2 linked regions of the Pelodiscus sinensis genome follow. The protein of the gene in region 2 purifies or fractionates together with the protein of the main gene of each other region. This does not show direct contact. Links are inferred from orthologs where the notes say so. Each region holds a gene or a part of one and is shown on either strand. Other genes may lie near its edges. The genes, in order: COPS4 and DCAF1.

Region 1 (12,166 bases), on a different chromosome or scaffold from region 2:
AAGAATCTGAAGCACCTTCTAAAATCTGACAGGTATGAGGTAAGGAGCATTCTTTCAGAAGTCTTAAAAGAGTAACACTGATATGGAAACTACAGAACCTGAACCACCAAAAAAGAAAATCCATCCTTTTGCTGGTGGTGAAAATGATGATGAAAATGAACATATGTCGGTCTGCTCTGGTTTGGAATGTTATCGAGCAGAACTCATCATCAACATGAACACATGTCCTCTGGAATGGTGGTTGAAGCATGAAGGGACAGAAGAAACTTTGCAGTGTAATTCAACAGTGCATGTGAACAATTGTTCTCATTTTTCAGGTAACACTGTCTGAGCAACTGGCTGAACAGCAGGACTGAATGGACTTGTAAAACACTAAAGCCTACATTGTTTTATTTCTGAATGCAGTTTTTTATATCTAATTCTACTTTTGTAAATTCAACTTTTATGATAAAGAGAATGCTCTATACTACTTATATTAGGTGAATTGAAAAATATTATTTCTTTTAATTTTAGGGTGCAATATTTGTAATAAAATATAAAGAGAGTACTGTTCACTTTGTATTCTATATTATAATTGAAATAAATATATTTGTAGATGTAGAAAATATCTAAAATATTTAAATAAATGATAGACTATTATTGTTTAGCAACAAAATTATTGGCAATTAATTTGTTTAATTGCTTGGTTACTCTAATTTTAACATACTGATGATTGGTGCTCCAAGCAGATGCAGATGCAAGATTGAATATGGACAGCACATCAAAAATTCACATAGCCTGAACTATATTTATCTGCATGTGTAATCCAACATGCATCAAGTCTTCAGTCAACAATGCATAAACACAACAAATACATACTTACTTGCTTCTACAAAAGCTTTCAAGGCTTCTAGTTGTTCCACTCCTGACAGTTGAATTGCTTTTTCCAGTATCTGACGATATCTGCCCATAGATTTAAAATTAAAAAATGTATCACAATTAATATCCTTTTATTTAAATATCCCCCGTGGCATTTGCATTTACATGGCTGCAGCTTTTTTCCGGCTCTGGGTTTTTGCCGGAGAAAAGCGCCAGTGTAGACGCTTGAAAGTAGGAATAAGGGATCTTCCGGAAAAGGGCTTATTTTCCGGAGAATCGCGTCTACAGTGGCGCTTTTCTCCGGCAAAAACCCCGAGCCGGAAAAAAGCGGCAGCCATGTAAATGCAAATGCCGCGGGGGATATTTAAATCCCCCGGGGATATTTAAATCCCCCGTGGATTTGCAATTCCCAAGTGTCTCATTAGCATCCCTTTTCTGGAAAGGGGTGCCAATGTAGACACAGCCTATATGTTTGGTGGTGTTTTTTAGGGCTTTTCCCAAGAGACCCTGCTGCATAATACCAACGGCGCAGAAAATACGTGATTTTTTAAAAGGAATTTAAAGCTCGGACGCCTCTCTCCGTACAATTGCTCTGGCTCTAGAAAAAGACACAATGGGCATCAGATGGGTTCTTTTGTCTTTCAAGCCCAAGGCTCTGGGAACACCGACTGTTCTGAAACGGACAGTTCAGCACCAGCCTGCAGCATCTACAGCCCCTTGGTTAAATTAAATGGAGAGGGGGGGGGGGTCTGGTTAATCCCCCCGCCCCGAGGCAGCGGGGGAGGGGGGGGGCGGGGTAGGTAGGTGCAGTCGACAGCATTGACCAATAATAAGCGCAGGTTTTTCCGTTAATCCGTTTTATCCGTTAATCGTCTGCCATTCACGAAGTGACAAGACAGACCCGGGCGCCTCCGCCCTGCCAGGCACAGGGGCCGCGGCTCGCGGAGGAAGCAGGACCCTGCAACCCCCGACTAGTCCTCAAGCACCCGCCAACCGCCTTCACCTCAGCCGGGAGCGCCCCCTCCCCCCAGCCCGGCCCGCACTCACTTCCCCGCCAGGTCCTTGTGGGAGCCGCTGGAATTCATGAGCTGGGCCAGCTCCTGCCTCACCGCGGCCGCCATCTTGTCTCGCGCAAACTGACAGACGCGGTCCTCCCCCTGCCAACGAGAGGGAAGCCGCCGCCGCCGCGTCCCCGCTGTATCATAGAGGAGCGTCGGCTAGAAAGGCTCCTGCCCCTGAGAAAAGGGTCACGTGACGCCTTCCCAGCCCGGAGTCCTTCCCTCCTCGCGAGCGCTGCTGGCCAGTTGCTGCCTCCCTGGGATGCGGAAGGGCTGATCCGCCAGCGGGTTGACGTACTGACCCGGCCCCACACGAAAGCAGACTCTGTACCTGGGAGGGGACCCTCAGTCCCTTCCTCCCTCTAAGGCCAGGAGAGGCGCTCTGAGCTATTTCTCCGGAAGGTGTCATTCCCAGTATTGCCCGCCTGGCTGGTGCAGATGGCAGGTCTGGAAATGCAGGATCTCATGCCCCAGTGAGAGGGATGGATGATAAGTTCTTTCCTTCCCATGCGGTCTCTCGGGTCAGAGAAGGAAGCAGGGCCAGAGCCTGATGAGTGGAATATTTTGTAGCTCTGTTTCTTTCCGAACTGTGTTGCTTGTCGGCTGTGTTTCAGTGGTGTACACAGCATGGCTGTCGTACATACGTTATCAGAAGATTTCAGACATTACAGTATTTATTTTCCTTTTCTAATCTGTGTATAGCGTTTTATCTAAAAGTAGATGAATAATTATACTGTTCCTATTTTACCAGTGTATAACTGAGGTCCGGATATGTAAACTAAAATTTTCAAATATAGCACCTACATACAAGAGTGCTGCTTTTCATAAGTGGAGAGGTGGACTCAGCTCATATTTCAAAAGGAGTGTTCTATTTACTTAAATGTCAGGCAGCTATCTTCAGGATTGTGCTTCAGCTGGAACCATGGAAAGAGACTGAGATCAATTTTTTTTTTTATTTTTTTGTACACTGACATTTGAGTTGCAAACACTGCAGATAAATGTTTTAATGGAGAGAAAACCAATAATTAAGAGGTGAGGAAAATTCCCTTGGTTTGTTCATACCCTACAAATAAGTGGAGGATACCTATGGTACAGAAGCTAAACAGAATGAATACATTTCCCTTGCAAGAGGGTGTATGCTCAAGGTAAAAGCAATGCCATATGTTGCACTTCCATATCACCTTTCATGAAAGGTTTGCCCAGTGCTTAGGAAGCTGTCACTTGTTAGCCCATTTTATAGATGTAACAAGACTGGAACCACTCACTGCCTGTTTTTCAGTGTCTTGACTTAAGGGCTACGTCTAGACTGGCATGATTTTCCAGAAATGCTTTTAACGGAAAAGTTTTCCGTTAAAAGCATTTTCGGAACAGAGCGTCTAGATTGCCACGGACACTTTTCTGCAAAAGCACTTTTTGCGGAAAAGCATCCGTGCCAATCCAGACGCGCTTTTCCGCAAAAAAGCCCCGATCGCCATTTTCGCGATCGGGGCTTTTTTGCCGAAAACAAATCTGAGCCGTCTACACCAGCCCTTTTGCACAAAAGATTTGCGCAAAAGGACTTTTGCCCGAAAGGGAGCAGCATAGTATTTCGACAAAAACACTGACAATCTTACATGAGATCAGTGGTTTTGCGGAAATTCAAGTGGCCAGTGTAGACAGCTGGCAAGTTTTTCCAGAAAAGCGGCTGATTTTCCGGAAAAACTGGCCAGTCTAGACACAGCCAAGCAGCTTCAGAGGGATAGCTGAGTTAGTCTGTAACAGGAAAAAATTTAAAAACAATAAATAGTCTAGTAGCATCTTAAAGACTAACAAAACATGTAGATGGTATCATGAGCTTCCTGTGACAAAACCCACTTCTTCAGATATATTCCAGTCATATGAAGAAGTGGGTTTTGCCCATGAAAGCTCATATCACCCTCTATTGGTGCGTCTAGACTGGCAAGATTTTGCATAAAAGCATCCACTTTTGCACAAAAACTTGCCAGCTGTCTACACGCTGCTTGAATTTGCGCAAGAGCACTGACTTTGTAATGTACAAAATCAGTGCTTCTCGCGCAAATACTTTCATGCTCCTGCTCAGGAAAAAGCCCTGCGCAAGAATACTTGCTCAAGAGGGCCAGTGCAGACAGGGAATAATTGTTTTACGCAAAAAAGCCCCAGTAGCTAAAATGGCGATCGGGGCTTTCTTGTGCAAAATCACGTCTAGACTGGCCACAGATGCTTTTGCGCAATAACACTTTTTGCGCAAAAGCATCCGTGCCAATCTAGATGCGCTTTTGCTGAAATACTTTTAACAGAAAAACTTTTCCTTTAAAAGTATTTCTGCAAAATCATGCCAGTCTAGATGCAACCTACATGTTTTGTTAGTCTTTAAGGTGCTTCTAGTTTTAAGTTTTGACTTAAACAGTTTCTATCTATGGGGCAGTATAGCAGAGTGCACGCATCCAGTGCCCAGAAGGGTGCTACAAGTAGAGGAGGCTGGAATGCTTACCCAATGCATCACTATCGCCAGGCCTCTCTCAGCTGTTCCCCAACCATTTCAGATCAGTGGGAGACGCAGGCTGCACACGCAGCACCATACACACGCACACCCGGGCTCCTCCTTAAGGCTCCACCTACCCCTGCTTCTCCTCTCACCTTGCGCACTTGCCAGCCCTTGCGTGCCTGTGCAGCGGCACGTGACATGGTCACGAGCCAACGGGATGCGATGACGCACCCGGAAACGGCTGGAAGGAAGCGCCGGCCCCAAAGGGCGGGAGAGGGAGGAGCTGCGCTCGCTTGGTGACGCTATGTCGGTTGCCAAGGCGGCGCTGCGCATTATTATGGGATGTGGCGGTGGAATGGCGCTGGGCGCGTGATTTTGAACAAACACGGAACCTGTCCCTGGTGCTGCCGCTGCTGAGAGCGGCGCGCGAGCCCAGGGGGAGGAGGAGGGGGCAGCCGCGGCGCGAGCCCGGGGGAGGGGGGAGCGCGAGCCCGGTGAGTGTGAGCGCGGGGGGCCCAGCGGGGTGGGGGGAAGGGAGGGAGCAGGAAGGGGTGTCAGGGGGGAGCCCAGCGCGTCGCCGTGCAGCCCCCCCCCATCCCTGGGGGCCACCCGCTCCCTGGCTGCGGGGACAGGCCGGGGAGGGGGACCCCGGCTGCAGCGCCAGGAGTCGGTCCCCGCTGCCGCCGCCTGGGCGCAGCTCCCGGGGCGGGCGGCGCAGGCCCGGCCAGCCCACGGCGCAGCCCTGCGCGGCCGCTCCTGGCGCTGCGCCCCTCGGGCACCGGGGATCCGGCCGGTGCAGCCCCGGCCTGAGCTGTCTGCGCGGCTGCCTTGGCAATGCAGGCGCCGGGGCCGTGCCCCGCCAGCGGGTGGGCCTTTGTGGCTTGTGCCCCGGTGTGTGGGTGTATTGACTGTTTGTCCCTTTGTCACTGCCAGTCCATAGTAGCCAGGGAAACAGCCGACCCTGCGCGTGAAAAATAAAATCATTGGTTATGTGTGACTGTTCTGACGAATGGGTTGGCATTTTAAAGTCATTTGTGTAATATATTGAATAGTAAGGAGGAGCTTTCTTTATGTGGCTTTAACCCTAGAAAATGTTAAGGAATTCAAGATCTCAAGAGCTGAGACTCACTGCGACATGCTCTTTTTCAGCAAAGATCAAAAGGAGAGAAAAGCAGGGCTTACAGTTTGGGCCCTCATTCTAGCAATCTCTTGGGGGAAAAAAATCAAAATAAACGTGCCTAGTATTTTCGCTTCCCCTGCCTGCCTCATTATATAAATAAGGATGTTTAGATATAGGGCAGTATATAGAGTGTGATGAATCATTACAAAAGTTCATCTTGATGTGCATCTCTGCAGTACAAAATGGCATGCCACATGTCGAAATTGTCAGCTTTATTATGGTAGTGTTTTGCAAAATTGAGAATAGTAGAACTAATATCAATGCTATATTGGAAGATGAATCTAGTGTTTTTTTGTTTTTTTTAAAGATACAGCTACAATTAGGTCAAATTTATAACTGAAAATCACATAGGTAAATGCAGTGGGCTCATGTGTGACTTGTATACCTGATGAATCCTCCCACATATCTAAAGAAGAGAGGAGGTTCTCTGACTCTGTTGAAGTTCTGAGGATATTTCTTTTCCTTTGTAAGCTGCCTCTTTGTTTGGTGTTTGGGGGGAGAAGGGTGTCCCATTTTTGAGGTATGACAGCTTCTAAGTCAGGGATGGGGAACCTCAGATCCACAGCTTGCCCGAATCCAACCCCAAGGCTCAGACCCCCCCTTGCATGAGGGATCTTGTGCTGGCGCTCTAGCTCCAGCTCCCTGCCCCATGGTGGGGCAGCACACAAAATATATTAGGCTGGGCCCCCCAGGCGTGGAGAATGTGTGGAGTGTCTTTCTCTTAGTCTGAGGGTTTTTTGTGTGTGGCCCTCAACTGATTTTTTCTGTGGGTCAGTGGCCCTCAACCCAAAAAAGGTTCCCTACCCCTGTCCTAAGTATTGAGAGCATTTTTGTTTTGTGTGAGTTGTAACTTTTTTTAAGGAGTTCAGGGCCAAATGTTTGACTTTTGGCCGTCTCCCCTCCATGTCCCCAAAAAGAAAATACAGGCCAACTGAAATCAGATGCAACAGTACCAGTGTCACCTCATTTGCACTGTCTCATTGGGATGTAAAAGTTTTAACTGGTTAAACTTAGCCTTACCAGCATGCTTACCTGGTAACCAGTTAAACCATGGTGGGTCCAGCTGGCTGGAGCAGCCCTGTGGTACAGTAGGCCAGCAGGCAAGAAGCCAGGCTAGAGATGCCAGCAGCTCTGCACAATTCCCCCACCCCCTCCATGACTGACAATTTAACCAATTAAAATTACATAATGTAGCACTGGTTAACTTTTTAATTGGGTATTTACATCCCTAATGTCTAAGTGATCACCATTTGTTGGTTGGGAAGGAATTTTCCTCTGAGTCAGATTTCCAGTGACCTTACGGTTTTTTACTTTGTGCTTGCAATATGAGGTGCAGGCCATTTCTCCCAATTATCAGAGTATATCTCATTTAATCAGTTCCCTGCCATTGCAGTTGCCTTAAACATTGGTGCCACACCTCAAGTCCCTATTATTCTGAGACCTTTTACAAAGTTAAGTCAAAATACAGCAACCTTGATATTTACTGTGGTGAATCATGTCTATGGTTCTGTTGGTGGTCAGCTGAAACCCCCATCCCTAGGACTGAGCGCCACCAGGCAATGTAAATAATGCAGTGTCTACACAGGACTGTTGCCCTGAATGCATCAATGCAAGCTCTATGCCTCCTGGAGTAATGGGTGACATGCATCGTCAGGAGCAACGTTGGAGTGTAGACACTTACAAAGTGAGATCTATGTAAGCTGCTTTATGCTGACTAACTCTGTAGTTCAGACCAACCTTCTAGTTTCCTATAGGCTGTAATATTTTGGTCTAATTTAGTTTGCTTGGTTTTGTGTGTGGGTGTCCTGTGATATACAGGAGGTCAGACAAAGTGATCTGGTAGTTCCCTCTGGGCTTAAACTCTAACTTTGAAGGATCTTGTATGTTGATGACTAATTGTTTGAAGAATCTTTATGTGAGATCCTAGAATTCTTGGCTGGAGAGTAATTTATTTTTTTGTTTTTATTTTCATACTTTTGTGCTTTAACTAACAAATATTTTAATACAGCAAATATTTATGTTTTTCTTAAGATTGCTGTTTTCTGATACATTTTACAAAATGGCCATGTGACTGTTTTAGAAGTGTTGAATGGAAAAAACGTAGTGCAGTAGCCTAGTGTCAGAATGGTCAGTGTCTTGTTACTTCGATACAATCATCTAGAATTTCACTTTTGGGTTGGTATCTTATTTTAATCTAAGTTTTCAAATGGGGAAAAAAAACTCTGGAACAAACATGACTTGCGGTAAAATAGGTCCCCTTTCCCTAAGTATCACAATCTTTGCTTAAGCTCTGCTATTTTTCGGGCATCTTTGTAGTCTAACTATTTCATAACTTACGAGTTGATATGTTGGCGAAGGTGATACCAGGTTAGTTCTCTAATTCACCAATGCTAGAAAATGTTAAGGTTCAAGTTTGCTTACCCAGGGAACGTAGCTGTCTCACAGTTGGCACTTCTAACTGGTTGGGTTCTTGCTTTTGTACTAGTTACAGATGTAGCATCCATTCAGTTTTTATTTCTAAAACTCCTACCTTTCCCCACTTGGTGCCTGTCACTCATGAACTACTCTCCCTGGAAGGAGGTTCAGGATATGTCTGGAGGGGTACACAGATGGACGTGTATGGGGGATAGAGGAGCAGATGGGGGGGCTGGAGGGGCAGGTAGACAGGGGAGTGTGTGTGGGGGGTGGTGAGGAAGATGGGAGTGTGTGGGGTGGGGTGGGGGACAGACGGGAGTGTGTAGGGGAGTTGGTGAGGAAGTTGAGGGATGCATAGGGCGGAGTGGAGGGCAGACAGGGTGGGAGGCAGACAGGGAGGTGTGAGGCGGAGAGGAGGGGCAGACAGGCAGTGGGGAGCAGACAGAGGGCAGCGTGTGGGGTGGGGTGAAGGGGCAGATGGGGGAGTGTGGGGAGGGAGGGGATGAGGGTGGGGCCTAGAGGAAGGGAAGACTGGAGCATGTGGGGCGGAGAGGAGGGGCAGAGGAGAGTGTGTGGGGATGGGAAGGAGGAGCAGATGGTGGGGGGAGGCAGACAGGGGAGTGTGGGGCGGGGAGGGGGTAGACAGAGGGGAGTGTGTGGGGGGTGGAGAGGAAGGGCAGATGGCGGAATATGGGGGGTGGGGAGGACGGGCAGACGGGGGGCAGTGTGGGAGACGGAGCAGAGAGGGGAGTGTGTGGGAGACGGAGCAGTGGGGGGGCAGACAGGGGAGACAGAGCAGTGGAGGGGCAGATGGGTTGCAGTGTGGGAGACAGAGCAGAGAGGGGAGTGTGTGGGAGACAGGGAGCAGTGGGGGGGGCAGAGAGGGGAGTGTGTGGGAGACGGGGAGACAGGGAGCAGTGGGGGGACAGTGGGGGAGACAGGGAGCAGTGGGGGGGCAGAGAGGGGAGTGTGTGGGAGACAGGGAGCAGTGGGGGGGCAGAGAGGGGAGTGTGTGGGAGACAGGGAGCAGTGGGGGGGCAGAGAGGGGAGAGTGGGGGAGACAGGGGGCAGTGGGGGGACAGAGGGGGAAGTGTGGGAGACAGGGAGCAGTGGGGGGGCAGTGTGGGAGACGGAGCAGTGGGGGGGCAGAGAGGGGAGAGTGGGGGAGACAGGGGGCAGTGGGGGGACAGAGGGGGAAGTGTGGGAGACAGGGAGCAGTGGGGGGGCAGAGAGGGGAGTGTGTGGGAGACAGGGGGCAGTGGGGGGACAGAGGGGGAAGTGTGGGAGACAGGGAGCAGTGGGGGGGCAGAGAGGGGAGTGTGTGGGAGACAGGGAGCGGGGGGGGGGAGGGAGTGCCCGAGGCGGGCGAACCAGCCCCGCCAGGCGCAGGGGGCCGGGCCGGGCGGTGGCGGCGCAGCGGCCCGGCGGGGGCGGGGCCCGGCGGCGGGGGCGGGGGCTGCGCTGGGTGCCGGGCTGGGCTGCGATGGTGATGACGAGGTGAAAATGGCGGATCTTTCGAAATCCAACCCCGGCCCCTGACATACCAGCGTCGGCAGCCAAGCCGCCCCGGCGGCGCCCCCCGCCCCCGCCCGCCGCTGCCAGAGGCCGCCCGGCCCCTCTGGCTCTGGGACCGGCCTCCCCGCCCGGCATCCTGGCGCCGACCCCGCCGCGGCTTCGCCTGAGCGGTGAGACCCTCGCGCTGGGCCGGGGTAGCGGCGGGGCCCCCTGCGCGGGCCGAGCCGCGGGGAGAGCCCTGGGAGCGGCTGCTGGGGCCTTGCCAGGACTTCGCTCGGCTTGCGCTGGGCAGTGACGTGCGAGGGGCCCCGCACATTGCTCCGTGTGTCATCTGCACAACAGGCGGCTTTGTGCAGGGAGAAGTGAGGGGCAAAGAGAGGGCTCAGCCTGCCAGCTTTTAGATATATCTGTAAGGGATAAAGGGCGCGGCCTCTCTTATAGGACTTGGCACATTATGGCTTTAAGAAAGGGGGGGAAACTTGCTTTCTCATGCAGGTGATGAGATTGATATTCCTCAGGCATAGGCTGTGATAAAGACTCCAACCTTTTTATGAACTGTGGCTACTCGTTTGCCATGGTCATCAAATATGTATACAGGGCAGTTTGTCTTTAAAGTTCTAGCCAAGCACTAGTTTGCAATGTGCATCCTCGTTACCTTTGGACAGGTGTAGTGAAATACAGGCCAATGAAATAGTAGTATTGCACCACACTATGTGTATCATCAGTATTTCTCCTTTAAAAAAAAATTGTTGACGCATCACCGTTCTGAAATAATATCCCTGTGCATAGTTTGAGTAGATGTTAATGTTACAAAGTAACCTTCAAGGTTATAAACCTGGAGTGACTAAAAACCAGTTTGTGTTAGCTCAATAGAAATTGCCAATAAACATAAAAATATTGAATCCATTTTGTACAGAAAGCATAGAGACAACATGAATGATATATTTTTTTAAATCTCTAATATTATGGGACCAATACAGGTGGCACATATGTGCCATGTTACCTGTATTGGTCCCATAATATTAGAGATTTCATGGCATTTTTTCTGTAAAGGCATTTTTCGCCAAGATCTGGTCATGTTGTCATGATTCCTAACTCTGTAAATATGTTGTAGCATAAATTCGTTTTGCTTGTGTAGGTGATACTTAGCTGTGTTACAGTCATCCTTCCAAGGTATGTCAGAGATTCTGAGAAGTGCTGAACACCTATAGTACCCAGTGCTCACACTTGGATAATTCAGCTAGGCCCTTAGACCTGTTTCTATAACTTTCTGAAAAATGTGTTGGCCTAACTTTGTGTGCATTAAATAGAATTCATTATAGTTTTGTAAAATCTCAGTTTAACTTTAGAATTATGAACATCTCAGGAATGAAAGTTAGTTGTAGCTCTGAAAGGTTTGCATCTCTGAACATGGCTCTTTCAAAAGTTTACAAATGAACATTGACTTACTAAAGTTTCAAAGCTGTAGTATGCAGAAGTGTGCTGCTTTTAACCATTTTAATTTAAATTAAACTTCTTCTGTTTCCTTTCTTTTTGTCATACTTTGTAAACATAGTTTATTTTTATTTTTCCTTCCTGCCTGATTATCTACCACTGGCTCCAAATGTGGCGTGTGGTTGACCAGTCAGCCCATAACTCTGAGGTTCCACTGTAGTTGCTGTGAACTTCGTCCTCAGTGAGGCCAAGTGCTTTTGTCAAGTTTGAAGACATTGGTTTAGAAATGTTAAGTACTTTATTCTAAAATCCCTTGACCCATTCAGTACGTGGATTTTCCACTTTTTTAAACCCACTGAAATATGGAACTCTACATATATCTGCACATGGGCAGGTGTATCTGAAATGCAGTACATTGAACTAGCTTCAACTGGTTAAAATGGGCCAATTAGACCTATTTTGGAGTCGGAGTCTTCTTCAGTCCTCTTCTCAATCCATGGTGCAACACCATATTTATTATTTGATGTCATGCTAGAAGTCTACTACAGGCCACCTACCCAGGTGGAAGAAGTGGATGAGGCTTTTTTTTAAACAACTAACAATATCAATATCCTCCAAACCCCAAGATTTGGTGGTGATTGGGGACTTCAACTATCCAGATATATGTTGGGAAAATAACACAGCGGGGCACAAACTATCCAATAAGTTCTTGGACAACTTGGGGACAACTTTTTATTTCAGAAGGTTGAAAAGGCTACTGGGGGGAAGCTGTTCTAGATTTGATCCTAACAAATAGGGAGGAACTGGTTGAGAATTTGAAAGCAGAAGGCAGCTTGGGTGACAGTGATCATGAAATCATAGAGTTCACAATTCTAAGAAAGGGTAGAAGGGAGAACAGCAGAATAGAGACAATGGATGCACTGCGCGCCTGGGGGCGGGCAAGAATGGCTTGGGCCAACCCCGGTAATTAGGTGGGTGCACAGTGGGCGCCATGGCGGGGACCACTGAGGTAGTATTTTTCTAGGTTATTTAGAAGGGTTTGTCCTTGTTAATCCTAAATTTAAATTTACATCGAGCTTTTAGATTTCAGAAGATATTGCTCCATTCAGAACACATAAAGCATGAGACTAGTGGAATGCCATAAGAGGAGGAGGAAAACAGTTAAAGGTATGATGCTTCTTCCCTTACCCTTTAAGCCATGTCTACACTAGTGATTTTGCT
Region 2 (11,429 bases):
TGGCGGGCACACACTTTCCGCGTCATCGCGCTGCGGCGCCGTCACGGCGCGCGAAGGGGAGAAGCTCGCGCTCGGCCTCTAGGGAAACGGAGTTCGGGGGCGAACGGCTCCAGCGCGCATGCGCTCCTGCTCCACCGCCGGGGAGGGGGGTTAAGAGACGCGGGGCAGGCTGGGAGATGTAGTTCTCTCCGTGGCTGCGGGCTCTATTCATTGCGTGCAGAGCAGGGGCGCAGGAGCCGCTGCCCCACGCCACTTGCAAACCGATATGGCACCGGCCTCCTCCTCCTGTGCCCAGCCCCGGCCTCTACGCTGCCCCCTCCAAACTGGACCTGGCCTGAATGGGATCCCAGCTCTGTCCCCAGTAGTCTCAACCCGCCCCCCCAGGCAGGAGTTCGCACTTAAAAAGCTACATGTAGATACCCCCCCCCCCACACACACACACACACACACATACAGGCCAAGCAGGAAGGGGTGAGACAGGAATTCAAGCCAGGGCAAGAGACAACACAGATACCATGCAACCAGAGATCCCTACACCCCACAAACCATGCAACAGCCTCCCAGCTGCCAACCTCCCCCTGCCCCCACCTCACCACCACTCTCTTCCCCTCCCTTCCCTTTTCCACCCCCAGAAGACACAAGGGACCTATGAACAGCCCAAAGCCCAGAATGAGTACTACAACCAGTACAGCAGCTTGGGGAAGGGAGGACTGGTTTGTTTTGTCAACTAGAAGTTCCAGTACTGAAAATGGAGACCTGCATGCCAAGACACACACCCCTATTACAGACAAGACGAGAGCAGCTGCGAACTGACCCATTTTACATAAGTCGGGTGTAGCCTCCAGCCCCTGGAAAGTTACCAAGAAAGGCTTAGGTTGGGCATTCCCTGCAGAAGAACAGCCAGCTTCTTTACCTGCTAAATGCCAACACAGACTTTTTAGGGTACAGGCCAGTTTTTCGTGCAAATTTCTCAATAGCTGTGTGAGAACCACCTGCATGAAAATAAAACATAAATAAGAATTGCTTTTCTTTCCAAATTTTACCTACCCAGCCTGCGGTTACCAACAATGGGACTGCAGGATAACAGCCTGACTGCATGCTTGTGGATGTAGCCAGGTGTCAAGCATAATATATAAGTTTTAATTATTGGGACTACTATAACCATATTACTTTTCAATGGCACCTGCTCCATCACTGATCACATAGGAGTTACTCCGGGGATAAGTTGGCTCCAATCAGCCAGGTGAGTGTGCAAGGACACATCTGCTCTGAGTTGTTACAACTATATCAGTGGTCCCCAACCTTTTGGGGCTTCCGGGTGCCCATGGGCGGGGCCCGTACATGCGCCGCGCACCTGGGACGGGAGCCGCGCATACGCCTGGAGCGCAAGAATGGCTTGGGCCGGCCCTGGTCACTAGGCGGGTGCACATAAATGCCATGGCACCCACGGACACCGCGTTGGGGACCACTGCTATATTGTAGTAGGGTGGTACAGAAGCACTGACAAACAGATCAGCAGGTACATTCCTTCCAAGATGGTTGGTACTCCTTTCATAGATGGCACTACAGCAAGTCATCTCATGTTCCTAATCTCTCAAAAGTTAAGTAGTTAAAACTGTGCACTCAGATTGTAATATATGAAGAGCCACATAGCAGAGTACACTCCAAAACACTATTCACCATAAAGCTTGGGATGGAATATCTGAGACAGTCTTTACTTGTACCAAAGTCCAGTCTAGGAATTTGGGGTAGGGATGACGGGTCCAGTACTTTACCACGCCATGGGTGAATATATCATGCAGATAAAACAACCTCTCATTGTCACCATTACACTTTAGTCTCGTCTGTTCCTTAACTCGTGGCATTTGTTTATTTTTGAGCTTCCTTTTATTCAACCCAATAATTTCTTTCCCTTCTTGTTTTGCTCCACGACCATGAAGTGCAATATTGATGAATACTGGTCAATCTCTCTTCCCAGCTCCAGCTTCTTTCTAGCATTCAAAGCAGTTTGCTTAGGCCACAGGGCAGCTTTTCACCAGGCACAGAGCAAAAAGGGAGACTGACCTGCTCCAGTTCTGGCTCTGTCCTTGCACAAATTACTTGGACAAGTTTATTTAATCTCAGGGAGGGAACATGAGCTAGGGCTTAGAGTAGGGGACAGAGTCGGGCTGCTGTAACAACTTAGTGTGCAGGATTTGCCAGCATCTTTTCATCACATGTCCATTCATGGCATGGAGTAGGCATGTATATATCCTCTTAGGAAGTGCATATATCTAAGAGCAAATGGTAAGTGGATTCATGCGATTTTGCTTCTAGACCCGGACAATTGGGGGGGGGGCTTTACTATGCAATTCCTCAGTTAAACCCACATTCATCTTCTAATTATTTTTCACTGCTGCACCCATCAAAGCCAGTACTGGTGTGTGGCCATTGTCACACCACTTAGTTCTGGATCCATGTCAGACCAACTTGGTCTGTGTCAACTGGATCAAACAGGGCATAACAAAATTGAGCTATCAAGTCTAGATCCAGTTTCTTTCGCTCTGGGAAGAGGTATTCTTCCACCTCGGTTGTCTCTTCTCCTTGGAGGAGACTGCTAATTCAAGGTACTATGTTTACAAGGTAGATTAAGTTCTCCTGGGCCCTGGATGTTCCCTTCATCATCCTGTATAATAGGCTGTTCTTAGCACAAAATGTAGAAAGCAAAATCAGACTGTTTCTGTAACAGCTATGTGCAACTCAAAGGGGGCAGAAGGAATCCTCTTCCCTCTGTTCTAGAATACTATTGGATAAACCCACCAACCTTCCCAGACTGAGTTTACCTCTGCACTTCACTTTCACGGATGTGAAGCATGGACATTCATTCTTCCTCTGCGGGTTTGTTAAGGATATAAGAACGGCCATACGGGGTCCATCTAGGATCCGGTCTTCTGACAGTGCCAGATGCTTCAGAGAGAATGAGCAGAACAGAGCAATGCTCAAGTGACTCGTTCCCTGTAGTCCAGTCCCATCTTAGTTCCCACTGTTCTTCTGTTTAGTCACACAACTCCCCGTTTTCTCTACGCAAGTGCACCTCCCTTCCGACCACCTTCTCTAGTTTTGTAGGGCCAAACCTCTGCTGGGAAGGACTCTTCATCTTGTAAGGGGACGTGATGTCAGGAAGGTTTTATGAGAGCAGTCTTCCATTTCCTCTGGATCCTCGGCCACCTCCAGCAGTAGTCCTTGAGGATGAACAAGATATGTCATTTTCCTATCCTGGGCTATAGGTGCCATATTGACAGACTTTCAAAAAGGGATGGTTTTTCCACCTTCCCTCAAGTGTCCCATAGGTGGGATTCAATTCTTGAGGGGGTTAGGGCCAATGGGATTAAGTCCTTTTCATGACAGTCTAGCTGCAGGCAGAATCCAACAGTGCTTAGATTCTTTAGCTTGCACGAGAATCCAGTTGGGAGAAAGAAAAGGAGAGATTCCCATCCCGACCTGTCCTGTGATCCATCTCGCAAAGTGATGCTTCCATTCCACTGGCGGGCATCTTCTGTAGCAGGGGGCACCTCTCTTTCCAGCAGTGGAAATGCAAATTCTCCAGTGCTTCATCCTCTCAGAGTTGCCAACAGGGTAAGATTGCTTCCAACCCTGCTTAGGTTTCCTCACTGCATAGCAAGGGACTAAGCTGAAAGCTACTGGAACATTTTAAGTCCTTTGGAGACAGAGTGGAGGGGTTTTCTCTCTCTCTGTAACTTGTCCCTTCAGTTTTACCTCAGGCTAGAGCAGGCCCAGATTATAGCTAAACTGAGCTACCACTGCTCCACTGCCAGCTCTGCTTCAGAGAAATGTTATGGTTCAGTCTCAGCCTGATGCGAGCACACCCATTCTTCCGCTCCAAGAGGCAACAGGTGCATTGATTGCTCCAAAACTATCGGTCCCACTGGAGGGGCAGACTGAATCGAGCGTTAACTATTTCTCGCCAGACCATAACGATGACTTTGGGCCTTCTCCCAGTCGGGTCGCTCTCCTCCTGGAACTGAAGTCTCTGAGATTGCTAAATCATAGCATTTCAACCCGCAGAAGAACGTGGATCTGTATGTGTCGTAAATATGCACATCCAGGGTTGCAACCACCTTGCTCTTCCCTTATTGCAATAGAGAAGGCAAATGTTGGAATAGAAGAGTCAACCGGAGACATGTCCCCCAAAACAGAAGAGGCTGAATGGAAGGAGAACGACAGCTCTCACTTGCTGCGAGTCCAGTTTCACATGCCCCTAGCTTGAGGTTCAGACAGGGCTGATGCAGAGCAGAAACCTTCAGACTGGAGGTCCTACAAGTACCTATGGCCACTCGTTCACAAACCTCTAGGAAGGCTTCTGGGTCATCGACTGGTCACATCTTAATTAACAAAAGGCCTGGTGCCATGGAGACCACCCGGCTTGATGCATTTGGGTTGAATAAGACGACCGGATTCATCAACAGGACTAGCTATCGCCAGCAGCTGCGGCTCCTGCTGGTTCTGTTGAACCAGCAACTTCTGCTGCAAAATGGCAGCTTGTATCCATTCCTGTGGGTCACATCAATCCTTGTCTTTCTCGGGCACCAGTTTGTTTCCTGGCCAGGGAGTGTATACTGGGTCTTACATTTCACCTTTAGGGCAACACTTTACAGGGATTCACAACCAGGCAGCTCCACTTCTTGGACCAGCAGCGAGAGCTCTGATAGCACAGTTGTTCATTCCAGCAATACTAGTCCTTTAAGAGTCTGAATTAGCCCCTCCTAAGTGAAGCCAGGTCCAGTTGTTACAAAAGTTTCCTTTGCTATTGCTTCAGGCCAAGCTCACATAGTAACACAGCTCCACAGCCAGCTTACTTTACCCAGCTTCTGATAGGAACGCTTCTCTCTTGATAGCTAGTGGATAGTTCTAAACAGCCCTGGTTGGCTTGTCTCGGCTCAGCCTCCTTCCTCCAAACTCTCAGGGAGACTATTTTTCTTCCAGCCAGCCAGCTCCCTTCTGAGGATATAAGCACTGTCATCAACTTCAGCTGAAGCACTTCCTGTTTCCCAATGTCTGCATTAACCCTTTCCTTCCTCCTTGGGTGCACAGGCCCCTACCATAGATCTACTGGGGCTAGGCATGAATGCTCCCAGCAAAAATACAGACTCAAGGCTGAACTCTTCAGTTGCTGCAGGACAGAGAATGCAAGAACTGGTGAAATGCCATGAAATTGCTGTTCATAGGTGGTAAGAGGCTGGTGCGGAACTATTTGAATTAATTCTTTTGCTAGATCAGTTCAAAACACACCTTGTCTGTCCTGACTATGCACAGTCAGATGTGAGAGCAGAAAAAAGTCAATGCAAGTAAGAGGCAGAGATAAAAGAGCCAGTGGGATGGATGCATAAGATCCATGTCTGGCATGGATACACTTCCCCAAGCACGCCGCAGCACACTTCATTAGGACCAGCAGTTCCAGCATTGAAAAGTTCCAAAGACTCATGGAAAAGGAGGAGCAGCTAAATCAAGGGTCTCAGACTCACGGCCCAGGAGGCATCTGTGGCCCAAGCAGTTCCACAATCCAGCCCTTGCATGGCTGCTGGCACGCTGAGTCCCTGTGGCCTTGGAGGAGGGAGGGGTATCTGTACCCTTCCCCCAAATCCAGCCTTTGCTCTGCTCCCATCCTGCCTCTTCCCAGCCCTGCTCCACCTCCCCCCCCCCCCACTGCACCCCATCCTTGAGGGGCCTGGCACAGGGCAGTAGTAGGTGTCAGGCCTCCCCACACTCGCTGTGGTGGTGGGAGCCACAGGGAAGCAGAGCAACTCAGCAGCCTCTGCTCCACCCTCATCTCCCAGGCCAGCCCAATCGCTCTGCTACTCCCTGCTCCAGTGTGGGCTGCTTGGGAGATGACAGTGGAGTGGAGCAGGCTGCTGTGTAGCTCCGCTTCCCTGAGACTGCCGGTGACGCGGTGAGTGTGGGGGGGTGACTCTGTTTCCTGCCCCAGCCTGCCCAAGGATGCGCAGGCTAAGCTGAAAAGGGAGGACCCTCCTGTCCATAGAATGGTTGGGGCAACTGGCACGGGACCCCCCAAAGCACACAGGTTAGCTCTGCACACGTGTCCCCCAGGCCGCAGGGACATGCCGGCAGTGGCACAGAGCTGGCAGCCGGAAGCCGTTCCAGCCCCGCTGAGATAGGGGAGCTCTGTCAGAGCGGGGTTCCCGCTGGCCCACAAGGAGGATTTGGGGATGGGCACTGACCCTAAGGTAAATTGCATTGTGACCCCGATCTAAAGGGACCCCACAAGGATGCTGACTCTGGCTCTGTTTCCAAAGAACATCCAGAATATTATTGGCAATGCTCGTGTTCTGACAAATACCTTTCTCGCAACTCACAAACATTAACAGCGGCAAACACAGGTTCCGCCTTCGGGCCTGAGCAAGCCATCCAAAAGGGCCTGTTTTAAGAACAAGAACGGATCATGTCTTCAGAAAGCCACCCAGCTGCAGAGAGACTTTATGCAGGTGTGTGATAATCCCTTGTGAAGGTGGAAACCTCACCCTAAACTCCACCCTCCACATCTCCATTTGTGCTCTGTGACGAGGTGTATAAATCCCCACGTTGATTAAGCAGGGGTTAACAGGAACCTGAGCCCACTTAGACCAGCTGCAGATGCCTGCAGAGGGTGGCAGGCTAACTGGAGATCAGTCCCAGCTGGGGAAAAGCTGGGCCTGCATAAAGGAAGAAGCACAAGGCCCTGGAAGAGAAATCTGGGAAGAAAACCAGCTGAGGGGTGGTGGAAAGTTGAATAGTGCCTGGGAGATCTAGAGACTCTGCTGTGAAATAGAAATAGGGGAGAGCTTCTGAGAATCCCAGCATGATATCTGGGGGAAGGAAGATACAGGATTTGCACAGGAAATCTAGGAAGCTGAGGGTGTCAGGGAAGGCCACTGGCAATATGGAAACAATCCTTGTAATGGGCAGTTAAAAGGTGAAGCTTCCAGAAGATGGTGATTTTCACTGCAGGGGACCCAAATGAGGGTTAAAAATGGAGCTGTGGATGAGGGAGTCTGAAAACGGCAGGAGAGAAAGGGTTCTTGTGGGGGGGGGGGAGCCTGCCCACTTGGTAAAGGGGTGGGAGTTTGTTTGAATGGTCAAATGTGAAGCCCCTCCGGGAAGGCCTGTCTATCTTCACGCCTGAGCAGAGAGGGTGACGGGACTAGGCATTGTCATGTGGGTTTGGGTGTGATGTACCAGAGAAAAGGCAGGAATAAACATGACTGGGCCAGGGCTTACAAGGAGACCTGAACTGCGGTAGGTCTGGACTGGAGTGACTGTCAGCAGGTGGCACTGGGAAGGACAGCCTGCTATGGCATGCCTGGCTAGGAGAAAGTGCTTTCGAGGTGAGTCTGCCCTTCCATAGGGCTTTATTAACTGACTGCAGGAGCATGTAGACAGTGTTGTGTTGTGTTGTGGGGGGGTGTTTTTGTTAATTATCGATTTGTGTTAAGGGAGGCTGTAGCGATAGTTACTGAATCGGTGGATACTGACCCCTGCAGTGTAACCCCACGTCCAGTGAGAGGAACCAGCGAGAAGTTCAGTCTCCTATTAGCACTTGGACCTGTCCCCCCACTCTACCACAGAGTAGAGCACTCATGTCTTTAACTGCTGATGCTTTATGGAAGGATACAAGAGCAGGAGCTGAGCTATAGAGACTAAACTCTGATCCTATCTTGCAACCTAAAGGATCTACAGTAATTTAGCAGTTTTTGGTGCTATAGACGGACTGAACAAATCTGCCTCTTTGTTAGGAAATAGGAGGCATTGCTCTTGGGAAAGCCAGAGGCTTTTCTTTGAATGACCTAGCAGCAGTCACTCTGCCTCTACCCCAGTCCAGCCAATGGTGCAGCCCTGAGACCCTTTCCCCGTTCTTATGCATGCCGGATACTCCTGGTTGCCGTGTTGCGTGTACACTGCAATGGAAACACTCAGCCCCACTCTGGCGCTGTCTAGCTCGACCTGCCACCCGCTTCTGGAGCAGCCACAGTGGAGAACCACCTAAGTATTGTTGGAAACTGGCAATAGCAGAGCAGTCACTATCTGTCAGGGATACTCCTCCGCCAGTCCCTCCCATCCCAAAGGGGGTTTACAGGGAGTGTCGGCCCTCCCTCTATACCAATTTCCCATGCACAGTACTTAGTTTTCAGGCACTGAGTTTCGGACATTGCTTAATGGACCAGATTCAGGCCACCAGAAGCCTGTGAAGCCAGCCAGTTTGTCCTCAGTGTATTTAACCTGCCTTTGTATGCTTTCGATTGGACCGAGGTGTCTGGAAAGGGCCCTGGGTTTGGGCAGCAGTGGGTAGGGATACCCTGCACCTGCCTAAATACAGCTGTACACATTGTAGGCGACACAGAGCCTGCTCCAAATTCCTTACATGCTGGAGTGACTAGCAATCCTGGGACAATTCCTGCACACCAGCTGACTATCTGAATGACGGGTGTGACCAGTCCAATCACAAGCAGGTTCACCAGGATCATGCCATTTTAGTGTGAGGAGCAAGAAGGAAACTAACTGAACCTTCTCAGTAAGAAACATGCCAACCAGTCCTTTGGTACGTTAACAGGGACAGCTGTACAAAACAAACAGCAGTAGAAGACGGGGGGGAGGAGGGGACAGACACCAGGCAGAGGCGACAGACCTAGGAACGGGAGCAGTTCAAGGCCCCAGATTCTCCTGCCTGCTGTCCTTCCCTCCTCCCTGCCCTCCAATGGGCTGGAGCCACATAGCAGTGAGCGCCAAGGGGACACCACATCCCTGTGCTGCCTCTGTCAGTGGGTTCTGCCCCGCAGCTCCCATTGCCAATGGGAGCTGTGTGCGGGGGCGGAGCTTGCAGGGGAGTGCAAGATAGGGTGCAACAAGGGATTCTGGGTACAGGGCCTGAGGATGTGAAATCAGGTGGCTCAGCACAGCCAGCCCTATCTCCCCCTAGACCCCATAACCAACCCTGAACCCTAGCCCTGAGCACATTCCAGCACCCTAACTCCTGCCCAGACTGTGCAACCTCACCCCAACCTCCCGTCTGGAGCCCTCTTCTGCAGTCCAAATCCCTTGGCTTCAGCCTGGAGCCTCCTTCTGCACCCCCAGAGCCCACACACTCAGTCAGCACTCTCACCCCCTCCCACACACACCTCTTCTGGGTCCTGTCCCAGAGTGTAGGGCTTGCAGACAAGTTCATCTGACCCTGCTGGGCCCTAATTCTGGATCTGGACCCTGGACATGAGCTGAGCTTCTAGTTCCATTCCAACTCAAATGGGGTTGACTCTGAGCACACCAGCTTTATTTTAAAAAAAAAAGGGGGGAGGCAGTAGTATGTGGCTTTTAAGGTGGTGCAGCCTTCTTAGAGTTCTCAAGAAATTAAATATCTGAGAAGACACCATCCGTGTTTTTTTGGGGGGGGTATTTTGGATCTGCGCTCGTACCTAATTTCTGCACCCTGTGGGTCTTCCTTAACCGGGTCGATTGCCTGGATGTGTCAGTTTTGACGTTTGTGAAAACAATGCACAGATTAATGAAACTAGGGCATAGTACTTACAGGTGCCGGAGTGCACATACACTTTTGAATTCTAAATAGCTCCAAGGACACTTCACCTTTGGGGGAAGGTTAAATGGTAACCTGTACTGTACCTGATGACGAGACTGAAAGAGAAACAGGAATTAAGGCTGGAGAGGCCTTAGTAATTCAGACTTTTCACATGTAGGTCCTTAAAGGATTTGCAAATAATATTTAATTGGCATTAGCTTTAGATCTCAAAGCAAATTCCAATCCGATATCTTACGCTGCCCCCAGCTGAGGCAGTAGGGATAAGAGAGCTCCAGTGAAGTTAAGTTAGTTGCCGCTAGGATGAAACTTTGCAGTGGTTTAGCAGCATGCAGCAATTGTGTAAGAACTACGTGTTTGAGTTTGTCCAAGAACAACTCCTAAACGGGAAGAACTAGGGTCACCAAACTTGGTATGCAGCTTCCTCTTGCCTTGCTTTAAGCTCTAATGAGGATTGGGTTGTGCCAGGAAAATGGGATAGGCCTGGAATGGGATTTCTGTTCGGTCTGAGGAGCAGAGAGAATCACCAGGCAGGGGAAAGGTGCTGGCTGAGGAGTGCCCCCCTCTGCCCTCCCTGCATCTGAGACTGCTCCGGACCTGAGGTTCTCACCTCACAGGCTGAAGCTCTCTCTCCTACCTCCCTCCCCCCCCCCCCCCATTCATGTGGGGACATTTCTGGCTGTTCCCTTTTGTCAGGAAGCAAGGGGGAGTGCACCGTTTTCTGCATTCCTCACTTCTGGCTGGGTGATTGCAGGGGGCAGACAAGCTAAGCACTTTGCTCTTCCCCTTCCTGTCCAGGAGCAAGAGCAATCGGCTCTGGTATGCATCTTGGAGTGGGGGAGAAGGGCTTCAGCCCCTCCTCCCACCACACACACACTCACACCCAGCCACCTGCCTGGAGCCCCTCCTTAAGGACCCAAGCAATGCCAGGTAAATGAGCTAGAAAAGAAGAAGCTGCAGATGGGTGTTATGAAGGCAACTGCAATCACCTATACTGGAACTTGCCCAGGACAACTCTCCAATTATCCCTTCCACCGTGAAATATGCCAGGGGATCTTAACCTCCACCACTAGCATCTCCTACTGTTCTGCTAGAATGCCCTCCTTCAGCACTGATTTACAAGGAAGACTGCCCCAAATATCATCTCCTGCAGCACATGGGGTCTTCACAGAGGTCTCCCATCCAAGTGCTAGTCCCCCTAATCCAGTTTCTCCTGAAATATAGGACTTGAGCCCAAGGTGATCAGTTTCAGGCTGAAATATACCTGGTCACTGCAGACTTCATAATGGATCAGCTGGTCTTATGAGGTCACAAGCGCTGTACCAGATGAGTTCTATTAGTGCCTCAGGATACCATGTGTACCAGGACACACACATTTGCTCTAAGTCTCTTTGCGGCCTCTTCTGTTTATTATATTGTGTGGGTGATAGGTTATTTCTTCCTGATGTTTCATAGGATTATCAAGTAGGCAAGCAAATTTTATTCCCTAGAACATTTCATAAGCTTCTTTGCTCAATAAAAAGTGGCTGTAGGAGGACCTGAAATTCCAGAAGCCTGATCTGATGCAAAGCAAACAAGTGCAATTGCTATTTGGTTATGGCCATACACACAGCCATGTCCTGTACTAGCGAGTGCAACGAGGCATTTTACCTAAGCCTGGTCCTTCTGGAGACCTCCACACTTCCGTTCAGGTCTATCTAAGGTGGGGTGGCCAACCCACGGGTCTTGAGCCGCTCTTTGCTCATAGAAATGTGGCTCTTTAAGGTTCCCATCTGTCCGGTTTTTCCCAGACATGTCCTCATTTGCCCATGTTAAATTGCCATCTGGCTGGCTTTTTTTAAAACACAAAAAA

Evidence for each region.
Region 1: the proteins of DCAF1 (region 2) and COPS4 purify together in Homo sapiens (affinity purification with mass spectrometry; 4 studies listed by BioGRID, with this or other methods). This does not show direct contact. The link is inferred for Pelodiscus sinensis from reciprocal best matches to the Homo sapiens genes DCAF1 and COPS4.

The regions. Positions count from the first base shown.
Region 1 is NC_134715.1:11,681,992-11,694,157, reverse strand, and holds the start of COPS4 (COP9 signalosome complex subunit 4), read right to left. Parts: upstream 4,546-12,166; 5' UTR 4,408-4,545; intron 2,520-4,407; 5' UTR 1,980-2,519; coding exon 1,906-1,979; intron 943-1,905; coding exon 863-942; intron 1-862. UniProt on the Homo sapiens protein: Component of the COP9 signalosome complex (CSN), a complex involved in various cellular and developmental processes.
Region 2 is NC_134721.1:43,462,662-43,474,090, forward strand, and holds the start of DCAF1 (DDB1- and CUL4-associated factor 1), read right to left. Parts: upstream 4,993-11,429; 5' UTR 2,823-4,992; intron 993-2,822; exon of another isoform or gene 914-992; intron 66-913; exon of another isoform or gene 1-65. UniProt on the Homo sapiens protein: Acts both as a substrate recognition component of E3 ubiquitin-protein ligase complexes and as an atypical serine/threonine-protein kinase, playing key roles in various processes such as cell cycle, telomerase regulation and histone modification.